4 linked regions of the Xenopus tropicalis genome follow. The protein of the gene in region 1 purifies or fractionates together with the protein of each later gene. This does not show direct contact. Links are inferred from orthologs where the notes say so. Each region holds a gene or a part of one and is shown on either strand. Other genes may lie near its edges.

Region 1 (3,899 bases):
CCCGCCCTGCTGCAACCTGATGCATCTGTGTGACAAGAAGACATATTTGTGTACATTAACAAGGAAAAAAATAACGCTGCAAGAACACATTATTATAAATATACATTAAGTTACAGCTTCATCTGCTGGTCACTTTCCGAACATGACGTAGTCAAGGAAGTTAGTTGGTTAGGAAAGATGTAAGAAATCTTATTTGAGGTTCTCACATTTTTGCTAGCCAGAAGAACATCAGATCAGCCCTTTCTTTCGCTTGACAATGTCCTTGGCTACTTCATGTTCGAAAAGTAACCAGCAGGTGGCCCTAATGTAACAAAATGGATTCAATATTAACAGGACTTTTAAACCCTTAATATCTTGGGATTAAAAAAAAAAAAAAAAAATGAATGAATATATATTGCAAAAGTCCTTAAAATAGCACTCATCAATTTTATATCAAGTAATTTTAACTTATCCTTTAAAGTTTTTCAATGATGCACACTTACTTGCAAGCAAGACCCTCGAAGATTGATGTCAGGCCAAGTTTGAACGTCTGGCACAGGGATATTGCTGTGTCAAACAGGCCGGCCTGTACAAGAAGAGCCACCATTTCTTCAGCAGCGGAACTCCCTGCGAAAGAGAGTGCACATCGTTCAGATTAGCAGAGCTTGATATACCGTATATACTCGAGTATAAGCCGATCCGAATATAAGCCGAGGTACCCAATTTTACCTAAGAAAACTGGAAAAACTTATTGACTCGAGTATAAGCCTAGGGTGGGAAATGCAACCGCTACTGCTAAGTTTTAATAATCAAATAAATAACAGATAAATACATAGATAACTTTAGGGAAAGAAAAATGCTACAGCAGCAGACAAAAGCAAGTTTGGGAACGCTAAGGAAGCTGCCATACTAATTATCAAGTACTTGGACCCCAGTGTAGAAGTCCCACCACAATACTACAAAAATAATTTTCTTACATTTTGAAAATCAGTCTTGTGATTGCAGTACAACAGCCCTGCTTTATGGCTAAGCACGCTTCCACTCCTACTCACCAATGTCTTGCCCCTTGCTGGTCCCATCCTGCTTCCCCTTGCCCCCCACTGCCTTAAGAACTCCCCTCCTTGTTAGTGGCCAGAGACTGCCACTCATGACAAGCCCACCTGTGCACCAATCGCCTCCATAGAACTACATATCCCACAATGTGGCCCCCGTGGATGGAGGCGAGTCTGTGCACGCAGGTTAAGGAACTCTTCTGAAGCATGTACAGTATCTGGCACAGGTGCTTGTCCGCCGTGTATAGTGACGAGTCGCTGTGCTGATCTGCCAGCCACATAATCTGCAGGCAGTTCTTTACCTGCACTGTCCGGACCAGGAAGCGGGAGCATTCTTCTTGATCTGACGATGAACGCGCTCGCACGGAGGTGAGTGCGTATGCATTACATCGTCAGATCAAGAGTCGGCAGGAGAGTGAACGGAGTGCACGGTGTCCGTGTGTGACACGCTGCGCGGCGTACGAGGTGGCAGATATGTACCGGCTTACGGCTCTGTTTGAAGAATGCTCCCGCTCCCACAGGTAAACAACTTGCTGCAGATTATATGGCTGGCAGATCAGCACAGCGACTCGTCACTATACACGGCGGCCAAGCATCTGTGCCAGATACATGATACAGAAGCGTTCCTTAACCTTGCGCGCACGGACTCGCCTCCATCGCCTCGTTCGAGCGCATTATGTGCAGGACGGACACAAGTGGAGGTAGGTAGGGGAGAGGAATGCTCGAGTATAAGCCGAAGGGTTACTTTTTGAGCACATTTTTAGTGCTGAAAAACTCGGCTTATACTCGAGTATATACGGTACACAAAACATCATGTCTGATGTCAGGCATGTAACGCTTACCTCAATTGTGGATCCAACAAACAACAATACAAATATATAAAACAGAAAAGTGGTATATTCTGGAAATTATATTCTTATAATCGGTGCTTAGTGATTCAATTTCAATTTCATCAGAACATGGCTGTAAGCCCACAATTAACTTTGCAAATATCCCCAAAATCCCTCTCGACTGCTCTTACTATGTAGGCATCTGGGTAAATGCTGAACAGAGCCTGCTATTTATCTGGGAGAAGAGAAACTCCTTGCATGAGAAATGTAATCCAATCAAAGTTCTCCGTTACCTGCGATCGCTGCTGTACTGGGATTATGCTTTGCCAGAGTCAGCCGCGTCTGCGCAAGAACGTATTCCTTTTCTAAATCTCGCAGCTCCAAGATTTCAATCTGACTACTGCCTAGTCCAGAAAGAACACAAGAATAACAGTTAATATAAAGCAAATTAAACTGAAATAAGTTAATTACAGGAAGAACTGTTTCAAAAGAAAGCTCACTTTTTTGTAGCAAAATGTTCTATATTACTAAAATTTCTTTACTACAACTATCAGCATCTGCCAAAGCTTTCACAGACAGGTGAAGATATAGATCAACCAACTGCATTGAGGCTGCTGGCAGAGAGTTAGTAGTTTTGCAAGAGATTATATGTTGCTTATGTTATAGATTCTAACTACATGCTTCAAGCTCAGCCACAGGATCACACCCTTTACTTGCACTGGGTATTTAAATGTTCACTTTAAGCCAGAGCACCACTACTTATAGACCACAAGGTGGCAGCACAATACACACACCTCTGTGACTAGGCCAAATCAATACCCCATTACACTTTTAGCTGTAATCATCCTGCTCAGCCAACATAGTGGAAGAGTAACAATGTGTAACAGGGACACAGCAGGAAGCACTCAATAATATCCCGGGATACCAGAGAGAAAGATTTGTGCAAGGAAAAGGTAAAATGATAGCAAGTCGTTAGGGCAAAGGCTTACTTGGAACAGCAGATGATTCTCCATCATAGTTCCTCTTGGGGGATGCTCCTGGGCGTTCATACTAGACATTTAAAAAAGAAAAACAGGCAAATAATGATATATATAGGGAAAAGTGGATGGAAGGAAGGACCTTTCTGTTGTATTTAGAATGTATTTAGACAAGAGGTTTCATACCACAGCTCCCGATACCGGCTGCACTATCCAAGCGTATTCTGGACGGATAAGGCGCAAGCAGTTCAGGCATGCCAGATAAGAGTTCACTTGTTTTTGGAGACCCCGTAAGGTACGGACTTCCCTGCCAAGTCGCATCCCATATTCAAACATCACCGTGCCAGCTGAGGGGAAAAACGGGGTTTCAGTTATAGATAGGGAAACTAAGCGCTATAACTAGTGGCAGGGTGGTGCAGGTATAATAAACACACACAATATAGATACATGTGTGTATCTAAAAAAAATAAAATAAATAATATATATATATATATATATATATATATATACACACACACACATCAAAAGGATTATTAGGAACACCATACTAATACGGTGTTTGACCCCCTTTCGCCTTCAGAACTGCCTTAATTCTACGTGGCATTGATTCAACAAGGTGCAGAAAGCATTCTTTATAAATGTTGACCCATATTGAAAGGATAGCATCTTGCAGTTGATGGAGATTTGTGGGATGCACATCCAGGGCACGAAGCTCCCATTCCACCACATCCCAAACATTGTCATGTTCAAGAAACCAATTTGAAATGATTCCAGCTTTGTGCCATGGTGCATTATCCTGCTGGAAGTAGCCAGAGGATGGGTACATGGTGGTCATAAAGGGATGGACATGGTCAGAAACAATGCTCAGGTAGGCCGTGGCATTTAAATGATGCCCAATTGGCACTAAGGGGCCTAAAGTGTGCCAAGAAAACATCCCCCACACCATTACACCACCACCACCAGCCTGCACAGTGGTAACAAGGCATGATGGATCCATGTTCTCATTCTGTTTACGCCAAATTCTGACTCTACCATTTGAATGTCTCAACAGAAATCGAGAC
Region 2 (5,297 bases), on another chromosome or scaffold:
ACCCAAATAGTAGGTGCTCACTGTAAGGATATCACCCTTCATCCATATGTGAAAGAATTATATTATGTCATATTAAGACACACTCTTAAACCCATATACCTCATCCTCCCTTGTGGATAGCACAGCAACCCCCAGCATTTATATACTGGTTCACCTCCCACAGGCAGCATAGGGGAGGGAGAGTATGGCACACCCAGGCAGCATAGGGCAGGCATAGTATGGCACACACAGGCAGGGTAGGGCAGGTAGAATATTGCCTGTGGGTGCCATACTCTGCCAGCCCTATGCTGCCTGTGGGTGCCATACTCTGCCAGCCCTATGCTGCCTGTGGGTGCCATACTCTGCCAGCCCTATGCTGCCTGTGGGTGCCATACTCTGCCAGCCCTATGCTGCCTGTGGGTGCCATACTCTGCCAGCCCTATGCTGCCTGTGGGTGCCATACCCTGCCAGCCCTATGCTGCCTGTGGGTGCCATACCCTGCCAGCCCTATGCTGCCTGTGGGTGCCATACTCTGCCTGCCCTATGCTGCCTGTGGGTGCCATACTCTACCTGCCCTATGCTGCCTGTGGGTGCCATACTCTGCCTGCCCTATGCTGCCTGTGGGTGCCATACTCTGCCTGCCCTATGCTGCCTGTGGGTGCCATACTCTGCCTGCCCTATGCTGCCTGTGCCATACACAAAGGCAACATAGGGCAGGCAGTACATACTGTGACTCAGTACCATGTCCTGAGTCATCAATTGACTTGATAGAGCTGAGTCATCTGTGTCCTTGCCTAGTGGTTCTTGCAACCCCAACTTCTCTACTGTATACACTGTAGAAAAGAAATCCTTAAGCACATTTGCTTTCTATGGTCTTTTATACCCAAATCACCTCCATTTCCACAGTCCACACCTACATCTTTTTATAACTTAGATACTTTGAAAATGAGGAGATTATTGCTGCACAGGCAAAGACTAATCTCCAAAAGTATTTCACCTTTGCCTTCCCTATTGCTGCTTTACAACACTTGTGGTATTAACATTCTTTACAAGAATCATCTGTCCCCTCACTTGTAGTTTTTAAAAGCCTTCCTCTTCATTCCTATTAACTTACTTACTCCCACATATCATGCAGCTTAACACTCATATATTCATTTAGATAACATTATGGTCACCATTACCCTGGGCTTCTAGTGCATTTGTTTTATCACTAGGTCAAGTATAGCATAATTCCTTTAGGGGCCCTGAACAATCTGTGACATAAAATTGTTATTTAGTAAGTTTGTAAACTTGTTAAATTAACTGTTCTGACACTAATATTAAGGTCTCCATACACAGGCCGATTCTAGCTGCCGATATCAGTCCGTTAGACCGATTCAGCAGCTAATCGCCAGTGTATGGGCACTACTGATGGGCCTGCCCAACCAATATCTCGATCGGGCAGGTTAAAAAAACCTAGTCGGATCGGGGACCCCATCGGCTTGTTGATGCGGACCCTGAACCAACTTTGCCTATACCGTCGTTATAATTAGATCAAATCAGCCTGGATTCTCCAGATATCGCCCATCAATAGGTGGGGGATATCGGGAGAAGATCAGCTCGCTTGGCGACATCGCCAAGCGAGGGAATCTGAAGGTGTATGGGGACCTTTACTCCAATCAATATCTAATGAAGTCAAATAATTCACTATTATGACTTGACCCAAACTAGCATACCATTATAATTAGTTTGCCTGATGTCTTAAGATTTGTGAAAAGTTCAAACACAAAAGGGCCCTCTCATTTTCCACCACTTATTAATAGGCACCAACTATGACAATACAATAAATAAAATTATTATGTGAACTTATTAAGGAAAAGTGAATTTGAATAAATTGTAGTTGAATAGCCTATTTCTTCAAGGGCCGGGATTTCATACAGTTTCATTTCTTTTATGGCTATTTTTTATATAGTATGGGGGCAATTGGTCCCTTGGCTAGTGAGATAAGAATATCCTTATGTAGAGGAAACAACAGAATGTAATTATGTAGTGTAAATAAAAAGTTCCTTTGTTAAGGTACCTGCATGTCCATAACATCGCCAATGTGTCTGATGTCACACAGTTGTTTAGGATCTCCTTGGTATTCTTCTTCTAGACTTATGGCCCCAAAGTCTGAAGTGGCCCACACACATACCTTGTTTTCCTTGAGCATTAAAAAAAAAAAATCAGTATATGTAGTGTATTGACATGTCATAAAACTGTATGCAAAACTTTCACTAAATATATCAAACTTTGATATGCCTTAACACTAAGGGGCACATTTACAAAAGCACGAATGCACGAGCGTTCATGTGAACGCTCCGAGCGTATTTTCGCAGATTTTTTCGGGCGTCCGCACGACTTTTTCATACGACGCTCAACTTTTTCAGACGTTTGCACGAAAAAATCGGAAAGGTTTTACCGCTGTTTACAATTGTTCGGTATGAAAATTTCATGACTTTCGGGTCGCCAATCCGATATTATCGTGACTAATACGATTTTGTCATAAGCATTTACGTGATATTTGCGATCTTACGAAATTTTCGTTTCCAATACGATTTTTTCCCATTCGTGATTCGGATTCTAAGGCAGTGCTATTTGACATTTGTAGCCATCAGTGGAACTACATCACACTCTGGCACTTTGTGGTGTGCTGTGTCAATAATAATTAAAATTGTGCTAGGAAAATGACTAGATTTACCAACCCCCATTAAGTGTACCCAGGGCTCTTGTGTTACAGGAAACTGTAAGCTTCTTGTAGAGGGTAATACGTCAATGAGTACAAACACATGGCTGCACAATTATTACAATGATCTAAATTAACCATGTAATACTTGGGAAATGCTGCTCTTCCGTAGTTTAAATAACTGTAAGAGTTTGACAGCAGGGGATTCAGGGTATTATAGATCACCTACAGCCGTATCATTGTGATTTTTAGTTTACTCCGAATGTTGGTTAAACACATTTCCCCGTGCCACAACCATACCTCATTATCCCAGGAACCCGTAGCAAACACATCCGGTTGCTGCAGCGACGAGGCCGACACTGGGCGCCAGCGAGTTCTGCTAATTTTGTGAGAGACAAATTTTGCAGCGAATTTATCGTCCATGACACCCTTAATTTTGAGGTTGGCTATGCCACCACTACCCCCTTAATGACGAACACGTCCAGATTACAGGGCTATGTTGAAAAAAAGAGGCAGAGCCTGAAAAAAAGCCGCCAGACGGCGCCTTGTCTGCCACAAGCGTTCTGATTGGCAATTCTCAACAACCCAAACTGTACTTTCATTGGCTATAATTTCCCCGCCATACTTTCTACAGAGTAATCGCTGAGGTGACCAGTGATCGGAGTAAGGAAATAAAATGAAATGCGTTTATTAACGCATTCGTTGCCACAGTACAGTTCAGTGACTATGGCTTGCGCTAAACATACTTTGTTATTAATTATATAGCGTTATCCTTTCATACTGGGTTTTACAGCGTAAAGGAATACAAGACCAAACGGTTAACATATAGAAGTCCTGCTTGTGGCCTAATAATTTAATTAAGAGGGACTTATGTTTGTGTTACAGTGAAACCTTAATTTTAAATAACCTTATTTTGGGTTTTCCCACATTTTACACTGTTTAGGTGGACCCACCGACTTTTAATGCATAATACATTTCTTTGCTTTTACATTTTCCTGGAATTTTACATCATTTCTTTCTGGTCTCCTGAGAAATGTAAAATGGGGGTTTTACTGTATATCATGCACCTTATAAATTATAGGAGGAAAGCACATTGGGCTGTACCTAAAGTTGCCACATTTTGTACAGAAACATATTGGCCACATAGTGAAGAGGCGAGCCGGTGACATAAGGGGCAGGTGGGACAAGGAGACGTGATCATAACATAAATAGGCAAATTGGGCAGGGATGTGGTGAGAAGGGCAAAGTTATACAGTTTTTACAAATATGCACCTATATATTACATTTACAATTTAAAAATATATATATGCCCCCAGCCTTAGGGCTCTGGCACACAGGGAGATTAGTCGCCCGCAACAAAAACTCCCTGTTCGCGGGGGACTAATCTCCCCGAGTTGCCATGACCCGCCATCCCACCGGCGAACTTGTAAGTCGCCGGCGGGATGGCACTCCCGCGAACAGGGAGTTTTGTCGCAGGCGACTAATCTCCCCGTGTGCCAGAGTCCTTAGTAAATCTGGTAATGGAGCTGGGGGTGCATGGTAGGGGGTTGGGTTGCACTGCAGAATTGTCACCACGCACATGCAGCATGTGAAGTCACTTTCACAACGTAGGGGTATGTGACATCACGGGCACAATGATGTCACATCTGCAAAGTAGGGGGTATAGTTAGGTCTGGTGTCTAGAGTGGCATTGTTGTGTACCACTAGAGGGAGCTGCATGCCTAAATGTTAGCTCAGCTACATGTGTTATCCAGCTTGACTTTCTACTTATCCTGCACAACTCCACTGTGAACCCAACAGGCACCAAACCTAAATACAGCACTGTAGCTAGCAGAGATGAAAAGGTAGCATTTTTCCAATGCTTTAGCTATGTAATGGGCTCTCCCTAAACTGCCATGTACAGTATATACTTTCCTAAAATTCTTGTATACACTGCCAAATGGTCTGGCCCTCCCCACAAAAATAAAAAATAATACAAACTTCACCTGACAGAAATAAACTTTCTACATATAGTAAAAAAAATGTGCTGTTTGAATCCCTTAAGTGAGCATATTTACATTTGGTTCTAAAAAATTTAGCTGGTCCAGTTTGTTTATGTAAGCAATATTTACTTTTTATGCTATTGCGCTCTTTGCATTAGCCTCAGGGTGGCACTTGGGGCCCGAACACAGCTTTTACTTTCCTTGGCAACTGAACCTATCACCATAAGGAGATAGTAATGGGTTACCAAAAAGCAGACAAGGAATATAAAATAAACCTGTATGTAGACAATCCACAGCTGACACTGCAGAGTCCCCTTATTAGCCTGATTAATTAGTGAATTTGATTAACTGCTTCCAAAAATGTAGTCAGTTCTCTGGTCTCATGGTAACCTGCAAAAATTGGAGATAAAGGAAATAGGTGATCCATATCAGACAATGAAATTGATTCAACCTTTTATATCCCTGCGAGAACTCATGCAATGTCAAAGCCTGGTTCCAGCTAGCCAAATCTTATAATGAACTTTTTACAGTCTCCCTTTGATTAAAAAAGTCTTAAAGGACATGTAAACCCCACACACAAAAATTGAATCAGTAAACAGCCTCTTTGAAATCTTTCAATACCTGCCACACTG
Region 3 (4,168 bases), on another chromosome or scaffold:
GAAAGTAAAAATTGCGGCCCTGCCTACGGCACACCAGGCAACATCTCGCGGCACACTAGTGTGCCACGGAACAGTGGTTGAAAAACGCTGATCTAGGGTGTGTTACTATATATTTTAATCTTTTCATTCTTCCTTTTCGCTTTACCAATTTTAAAAAATTATTTTAGCTGTGAACATAAATTAAAAGTTATATTTTAAGATTCTACAGGTGTGCCAAAAAAATTGTGTTCTTTTCATCTTTTGCTTTATATGTGACACACAATGGCCTTCCAGAGATTGTCTGTGTGGGCATGGAATTAAATATCGCACTATTATCAGCAGAGCTCGTGGTTTTCACTTACAGGTATCGGACCCCTTATCCGGAAACCCATTATCCAGAAAGTTCCGAATTACGGAAAGGCCATCTCCCATAGACTCCATTATAATCAAATAATTACCATTCTTAAAAATTATTCCCTTTTTCTCTGTAATAATAAAACAGTACCTTGTACTTGTTCCCAACTAATATATGATTAATCCTTATTGGAAGCAAAACAATCCTATTGGGTTTAATTACTGTTTAAATAATATTTTAGTAGACTTAAGGTAGGAAATCTGAATTACGGAAAACCCCAGGTCCCTACCATTCTGGATAATGGGCCCCATACCTGTAATAACAACTGCAACTCTGCACCTGGGCTACCAGGAATTAAGGATGCAAAATACACTATTTAATTTACATTTTCAGCCACTTACAGGAAAAAAATATCACACAAACTGCTCACTGCACAAAGTAATTGGATAACACTGAGACAGCAAGTACAATTTTTATTGTTACTGTAGGACGACCAAGCCAAAAGTAAATGTGCCAGTCAATGGTTATTACTGGTTGCTGCACTAAGAAACAATGGCAGACACTAATTCTTAGACTGAGGGGAAAAAACGACTTCCTTTTATCATTTTATAGATTGTAAGCTCTACGGGGCAGGGACCTCCTTCATCTTGTGTTTCTGACTCTTATTGCAACTGTACCTTGTATTTATTGTTATACTTTGTATTTATCCATTATCTTTAACCCCGTCTGTATTAATGAATTCTACTGCACAGCGCTGCGTACATAAGTAGCGCTTTATAAATAAAGATATACATACATACATACATACATGGGAAAGTTATAGGATCACCCCGTCTATTATCATCCACTGTACAATTTTTAGGGCTTTTGTTTCCTGTATTATTTGGTTCGGTTATTATTCTTCCATTGCTTAGCAAACTATTTGCATGAATCCCATTTTCTTCCTTGTAGGTCAAGAAAAATATAACTTGTTTAAAGAGCAAGTGGATTTGACGCAACCTGACTGACTGAACGATAACCCCTGGTTCCAACCAGTTGGCCAGTTGCAGCCTAACAGGCCGGGCCGTTGCTTATGACGTCACTAGCAGCGCGCCATTTCCTGCACTTCCTGAGACAACGCGGGTAGCGAGCGCTTTTCAAACTATCCCGACACAGCGGCTACCGGATCCAGCATGTTTCCGTCACCCCGTGCTCAGGGTGTGGGCTCAGCGCGGCGGCCGTTTAATGCCCGACTGACTGGCGGCAGGAAAGGCTTGGGTCCGGGAGTGAGCGCCAGTTCTTCCCCGTCGGCGCTGTACTCGCCTGTGGGTCGTAGAGTTTCCAGCAGTGGCGCCAGATCCACCCCGTCCCGCGTTTATCTCCACCCGGCCGCCTCTGAGACGGTGAATTACAATGTACAGCTGTTTGGTTCCTCCTTGCCAGTTAAAGTAATGGAGGCCCTGTCTAACTCCGGTGTAGACGAGCCCTTGGCTGCTCGCATCCATGAAGGCGGATGGGCATGGCTGGCGTGCAAGGATCGCCTGATCATTTGGAAGATAAGTCACTCCACCTCTGCTAAGTTAATGGTGTGCAAAGAACTGCCTCTTCCACTGAGTGACAGCGAATGGTCTGCTGATTTAGCGGATATTTGTGCCCACACGGGTGACTCTGCTGCTGGACAGGCAGTGGCATTAATGGCGGCCACTCCTGAAGGGTCAGCCCGCTACTGGCCTAACATTCTCCATGAGAGCAACTATATAGAGTCTTACGCTGACTTTGGCTCCTCTCTTTGTGCATTTGTTACAGCTGTAAAAGGCAACAGTTTCATCCTGTCTTCAGAAAAAAATCACCTTGTACGACTGACACCCGACGCGTCCGGAAAGATTAATCAACGTATTCTGCCGCAAGGTCAGGGCATGCTGTCCGGTATTGGCCGCAGGGTGTCCACGCTCTTTGGCATCTTGTCTCCTGCTGTTGAATCCACGCTCTGCAGTGTTCTCTGGGATAAGGGAGATTGCTTCTATACTCTCACAGACTCAAGTATAAACAAATGGGACTTGGATGATGCTTCGGAAAGTCACGTGCTTACCTGGGACATGACCAGAGTCCTAAGAGAAAACATATCTGATGCCATTTGGGGGTCTGAGAGCAACTATGATGATATAAAAAATGGAATTAACATTGATTATTTAAGTCTTAACCAGAACTGTGATGGTTTAGTCATCCTGGCTGCTGCCTGGCATCCTGGTGATAACCCCTGCCAGATATATTACACACTTGTAACCGTGAAAGACGAAGGTTATAATATTTCTGATGAAATTACAGTGGAAGTCACTCAGTTCAACCCTGTGTTTCAGTCTAGAGATATGCAGCTGTGCCAGCTTGTGATACCAAATTTTAGCAGCCAGGCCTGTTACTTGTATACCCAAGATATGGTCTTTGCATGTTCAACAGGAACTGGAAGGAGCACTTTGCCTCAAGAAAAGATTCCATTTGAAGCACAAGGAGATAATATTATAGGAGCTGGATCCTGTGAAGGTTGGCCAGTTTTTTTCATTAGAAAGAGTGGTATGCTGACCGTTGTTGCTAGAGAGACTGCTTCTGTGCTCCCAGAGCACATGGAAGAGTCACTGTTGTCCGTGTCTAAATCCAGCTCTCAGGCTGCAGTAAAGGACTCAACTTCAAGACCTGACCAGATTGCTCATGATGATAAGACCAAACTTCTGAAGGCCGCTTTTTTGAGATGTTGCAGGAAAGACATACTGGGGGCACAGAGCATGGTGGATAGCCTGTTCTCAGATTCAGACATGGGACCAGATGATGAACTGGATCAAGCAGTAAACCAAATAAGCGTCGATTTGATTGATGATTATCCTGCCTCTGATCCTCGTTGGGCTGAATCTGTCCCTGAAGAGGCAGCTGGATTTAGCAACACTTCTCTAATTCTCTTGCATCAGCTGGAAGATAAGATGAAAGCTCACTCCTTTTTTGTGGATTTCCTTCATCAAGTTGGACTTTTCAGTCGTTTGAGCACTTGTCAAGCAAAAGGAATGTTCGTAGCAACTCGACTGTTGCTGTGTGAGCATGCAGAGAAACTGTCTGCTGCAATTGTTTTAAAGAACCACCATGCTAAGCTCCCTGCCTTGGTTAACTCTGCCATACAACTTGCACTTGATAAAAGGATGTGCTCCATACCCCAGAATCTCACTGCCGCCGATGTCTACTTTAGAGAGGTATCCCAAATGGATATTATCTTTGAATGCCTGGTAGACAAAGAGGAAGCTGACTTGGAAAGTACTTCCATGGACTCAGTTGAATGGGCAAATATAGTTGTCAATATCAATACTATTCTGAAAGACATGCTACATGCTGCCTGTCAGTACAGACAAAGTAAAAATTCTCTCTATAAAAATGAAAGTGGAATGCAAGAGCCCGAGTATGTTCCCTGGACTGCTTCTAGTGGAATTGCAGGTATTAGGTCTGTTGTTACACGTCAGCATGGTGTAATATTGAAGATCTACCCACAAGCGGATAGCAGCCTTCGTACTATACTAATTGAGCAGCTTGCAGCCTTGCTAAACTACTTGCTTGATGATTATGTCATCCAACTAAAATCAGTTGATAAACGGACTAATCAAGAAAGATACAGTGTCCTGGAAATGGAGTATGCTCAGAAGCGGTCAGAACTTTTAGCTCCTTTGTTAAGCCTAGGACAGTATGCCTGGGCTTCAAATCTTGCTGAGAAGTACTGTGACTTTGATATCTTGGTGCAGATATGTGAAATGACTGATAATCAGAGCAGGCTGCAAAGGTACATGACTCTATTTTCAGATCAGAATTTTTCAGATTTTCTGT
Region 4 (4,600 bases), on another chromosome or scaffold:
TCTTAGCAACAATTAAAATACCATTAGCATAAAAAATGTGATATTATTAATTTAACTTGCCATACTATTTCTATCGCCTACATACCAAAAAATACAAACTGAAAGAAAGATAAGAAAAAAGTCAAAATGGACAATATGAAAAGAATAAAAAAAAGGAAAAAGGCAAATGAACTTGCTTGCCTTGAGGAACCAGATTATGGGGCAGATTTATCAAAGTACGAGTTTGAATCCCGAAATGGAAAAAATTCGGATTAAATACGATAATTTCTGATGATCGGAATTGTCACGAAAATGCTTCCGAAAAAAAATCGCAATAGTCACGATAATATCGGAATGGCGTTCCGAAAGTGGTGAAATTTTCGTATCTGAACGATCGTAACCGCATGTTTTTGGAAGCCTCCCATAGGACTCAATGGCGCTCTGCAACTCCAACATGGCCCAAGGAAAGTCACGCTTGTCGCAAAGTACGAAAAAGTCGCAAAAAATACGCACAGTACGAAAACTTTTTTGTATTCGATACCTTGTGTTCTCATTATATTCATAGATCTGTACTTTTCCCATGATATTTGGGCTGCTGTCGTCACTGCCTACAGCAATCATAGGAGAATGGGCTCGGGAGCTAAAACAACCAAATAAAAGAATAAATAAAATGTTTGATTCATAATATGAAACAAACCTTAATTTAAATATGAAATGCTAATAATTTAATAAGTGAACATTCATATTTTATTTTTCATTAAAAGGTACCAATAGGTATTTTGCTTTAAAGCTGCCATTTCAGCAAATTATAGCACAGTGTATAGGATGCATAGATGCACTGGTGGAGAAAATTCCTAATGTAACAAAGCTCTAATCAGCCGTTTTATCTGTAAACTGCTAATCCGACTAACTACCTTCTTTCCCTCGCAAAACTTCCTGCATGAACCAGAGAGTTAAAAAATGTATTTGTATGAAGAAAACCTTTGTTAAATATTATGTTTATCTATTCACTAAATGCGTGTTGAATACGGAAGAATACTGCCTCTTTACATGTCTAGTAAAACTTAATACTAAATTTGTAACATTTACAAAGTTTATTTTGCAACTATACCCAATGTTTAGCTGATTATATTTAGAAAGCTCATATGAAATTTCAATTTTAACAATAGTTCCCTTTAACATTTCAGCAAAGCTTTAGTTTGTCATATATGTAATGCTCCTTGACATGAGTAGATCTAGCATAAGTAGCACTTATGTAACCACTGATGTAAATAGTCTGCAAAGTCTCATTTGCTTTCCTATTTTCATATACACATTCAGAGATGTAACAAAGTAAATTGTTTATAACTAACCTAGAGGGATTCCAAGAGATACAACTGCAGCTCAGTTTGCATGAGATTTCATGCTGCAGGGACCACTGACTGAGGTTCATAACATCAGGGGCCTCATATATTCTCACCACTCCATCTGCAGAGCAGGTTGCCAGCATCAGACCCATGTGTTTTGGAGCAAACTTTACATCGGTTACAGATGTCCTGCTGTCCACTAGTGTTGTTCTTTTAACCTAAAGCAGAATCAGAATAAATAAATAATGGTGACCAAACATACATTTCCCCTTAATTTGGATGCTGCTCAAAAAGTCAGCGCTATGCCACCTCTAGCTTTTAACCTATTGATAAAGCAGTGTATAGAGTCACCAAACAACTTTTGTTTTCTGTTGGTGTTGGAGACCTCCATTAAAAAAATGATTGACATTAGGGTTTATTTAGGCATAGTGACACATTTCTGCTGAAATATTGAACATCACTATCCCTTTAAAAGTTGCCAATGTGTTTCTTAGTCATCAAATTCTGCTTCTTTTTATTCCAAACAAACCTTTGAGAGTGGCCAAAGAGTTAATTTTTACTTTAGTTCACAGCACTTTAAAAGATCACTGTTTTGTATTCCTTAGCTTAGATGTTGATGTTTGTGATGAAGTTGAAGGTTAAGCTTTCCTTTGATGACTCTTCCATGCAGATCATGTTTGTGTAAGCAGTGCTGTGCCATGAAACTATGCAACACCAGTCTTGCTCTTAATCTTGCTCTGTCAGATTGTCTCTAGACTTCCACAGTTCCCCTTCCCCTGCCATTTCTTGATGACATGGCGACAATTAACTTTGTCAGATGTTCGCACAGTTGCATTATGGAGTCCATGATTGTTGACTAACAGAGATTTCATTATGCTATTCAAATGTTAACAGTTGACAACTCCTAATAGATATTAAGGCCTAATGGGGTAATTAGGGTCAGGTGAAAGGGTGTCCAAACCTTTGCACATGCCATAATTTCTTGCATTTGTTTATACTTCTCTATGCTTTAAAGTTTGCAAAATAAAATGGATCTGTGAATTAATGTTTGCAAATATGCGGTTTCTGATTCAACTGTATTTGTTTACTATAAATTTACTAAATATTTAATTTGGAAAGGACTGCCCACATTTTTCAGACTGTACATACTGGGGTAAATTACAAATCTTCCAGTTGAACACTCATGATGTTATATATAGACAAAAATGATGCACATCCAGGTGTATATTGAAAAGGTGCAATCAAAATATAATTATCATATAATCATATATACAGTTTTCAAACAAGCTCAATACTGGGAAAAATGTGCTCATATATCTGACAATAGGTCTTACCCAATGACTCTGTCCGCGCAGTTTATCATTTGATTCACCAACTATTTCTTCCCACACTGCAGCAGTTCTGTCAAACGAACATGAGGCTAATACCTGGCCGAATTCTGGGTGAGCCCATGTTACCCGCCATACTGAACCACTGTGGGTCTTAAGAACAAGACAAAAATAACATTTTCCTTCCAGAATACAAAGGTTAAAGTAAATTACAAGCTGCTCCGACTGCTCTGTGCATTAAATACAGTGTATTTAAATATGTGTGCGTTTAGGAATAGCATGCTAATATTGAGGGCTGTGTTTTCTATGCAAGCACACAAGGTTTGTGCCTAGAGCAGTAGCAGAGGTGTATATAGCATTTTCTTTTTAAAGCTCCAGACCACCACTAGATTCTAGTGGCTAAATTAACAAACAAGATGAGGGGCTGAGTACCCAATTTCCACCAACTGGCACATGCACATTTACAGTATTAAGCATGCAACAATTGCATAGGGTAGCAACAGCTATTAATCCGCCACTCATAATACTGTAATAACTAATAAACTTTTTTTCATTATTGAAGCATGGCAGCTTTTCCCAGTAGTACCCAATCACTAAACCTTTTGCTCTGTTTAATGGCAATGGAGACATTTCCTTTCATTATACTGTCCCTTTAAAAAAGGACTAGCAAATTAGGCCCTAGTTAGTATCTGTTGATTGAACATCTAGAAAAACTATTTCCAGACAAGAAATGTCCTGTTTAATACACCAGTAAGTGCAAGGCAGCAGTATATTAAAATTAAACACATACGAAACAGTTTATTTACCGTATATACTCTAGTATAAGCCGATCGCCGAGGTACCTAATTTTACCTAAGAAAACTGGAAAAATTTATTGACTCAAGTATAAGCCTAGGGTGGGAAATGCAGCTCCTACTGCTTTGTTGTTTTTTTTTTTTTTTTTTTTTAACTGTCAGGCAAGTTTGGGAAGGCTAAGAAAGCTGCCATACTAAGTACTTGCCAACCTGCTGTGTGCGCTCCCCTGTGTGCTCTCCCATCCTGCTGTGTGCGTTCCCATCCTGCTGTGAGGCCCAAACCTTGGTTGAACAGCCCGTAATGCTGCCTTCAAGCTACTAAATAGCTGTTTGCTCCTCCAGAGAGCTTTCTATTGTCTAAGTGGCCCATAATGGGGACTTAGACTATTTTCACATGGAACATTTTGATTGTCTATATTTGTAGCGCGGTAAAAAAAATACCTGATGTCCACCACAGTCTGCTTCCCATTGACTTCAGAGCTGTGCAACTTGTCACCCAGCGTGGCTGAATATCACCCTAATACTTAACAGCTCATCCAAACAAAACAGCTTGTTGGATTTCTGCCGTGTGCGCTCCCAACTTAAAAAGGCAAGCGCACGCACGTACGACCATTCACGGGGGGGGGGACACTTACATCTTCAAATCCATATACTCGAGTATAAGCCAAGGGTGACTTTTTCAGCACATTTTTGGTGCTGAAAAACTCGGCTAATACTCGAGTATATACAGTATTTGTTTATTGTTTTACTGGTCTTTTAGTGCAGAAATTAACTTAGATCTGTCTACTGCAGGTGGAAGAAACCTTCAGAATTGTAATTTTGGTCACAATGTTGCTGTTGTAGAAATGCTTGTTTTGGTCTTTTTAAGCAGTCTCTGTCTCTCACTGCTTCTGTCTACAACAGACATAACATTTGTTAGACTTGCTATTCCAAGCTGTTACAGATAATATGGGTATTTCTGACTGACACTGATTTCCTCAACAGCACCTCTGCATGTCATAGGACTAAAATCCAACCTCTAACAACCCCTAACATTTTGGCACCTCCCAGTGATTATATCTTGCCTTCTCCTTTAATGCGGCTCTATGTTTTACACTTACTTGATATAATGGCCTCCCCTTTAATATCATTTTCTGAAAATTCCACTGCATTT

Evidence for each region.
Region 2: the proteins of nup160 (region 1) and nup43 purify together in Homo sapiens (affinity purification with mass spectrometry; 5 studies listed by BioGRID and IntAct, counting the BioPlex papers as one, with this or other methods). This does not show direct contact. The link is inferred for Xenopus tropicalis from reciprocal best matches to the Homo sapiens genes NUP160 and NUP43.
Region 3: the proteins of nup160 (region 1) and nup133 purify together in Homo sapiens (co-immunoprecipitation; 4 studies listed by BioGRID and IntAct, with this or other methods). This does not show direct contact. The link is inferred for Xenopus tropicalis from reciprocal best matches to the Homo sapiens genes NUP160 and NUP133.
Region 4: the proteins of nup160 (region 1) and seh1l fractionate together in Homo sapiens (co-fractionation; 3 studies listed by BioGRID and IntAct, with this or other methods). This does not show direct contact. The link is inferred for Xenopus tropicalis from reciprocal best matches to the Homo sapiens genes NUP160 and SEH1L.

Annotation. Positions count from the first base shown.
Region 1 is NC_030680.2:16,001,076-16,004,974, reverse strand, and holds part of nup160 (nuclear pore complex protein Nup160), read right to left. Parts: intron 3,186-3,899; coding exon 3,025-3,185; intron 2,912-3,024; coding exon 2,851-2,911; intron 2,266-2,850; coding exon 2,155-2,265; intron 607-2,154; coding exon 483-606; intron 26-482; coding exon 1-25. UniProt on the Homo sapiens protein: Functions as a component of the nuclear pore complex (NPC). Involved in poly(A)+ RNA transport.
Region 2 is NC_030681.2:58,289,236-58,294,532, forward strand, and holds the start of nup43 (nucleoporin Nup43), read right to left. Parts: upstream 3,400-5,297; 5' UTR 3,107-3,399; coding exon 2,984-3,106; intron 2,162-2,983; coding exon 2,039-2,161; intron 1-2,038. UniProt on the Homo sapiens protein: Component of the Nup107-160 subcomplex of the nuclear pore complex (NPC). The Nup107-160 subcomplex is required for the assembly of a functional NPC.
Region 3 is NC_030679.2:125,105,843-125,110,010, forward strand, and holds the start of nup133 (nuclear pore complex protein Nup133), read left to right. Parts: upstream 1-1,368; 5' UTR 1,369-1,506; coding exon 1,507-4,168. UniProt on the Homo sapiens protein: Involved in poly(A)+ RNA transport. Involved in nephrogenesis.
Region 4 is NC_030682.2:103,472,300-103,476,899, forward strand, and holds part of seh1l (nucleoporin SEH1), read right to left. Parts: intron 2,807-4,600; coding exon 2,660-2,806; intron 1,544-2,659; coding exon 1,332-1,543; intron 620-1,331; coding exon 521-619; intron 1-520. UniProt on the Homo sapiens protein: Component of the Nup107-160 subcomplex of the nuclear pore complex (NPC). The Nup107-160 subcomplex is required for the assembly of a functional NPC.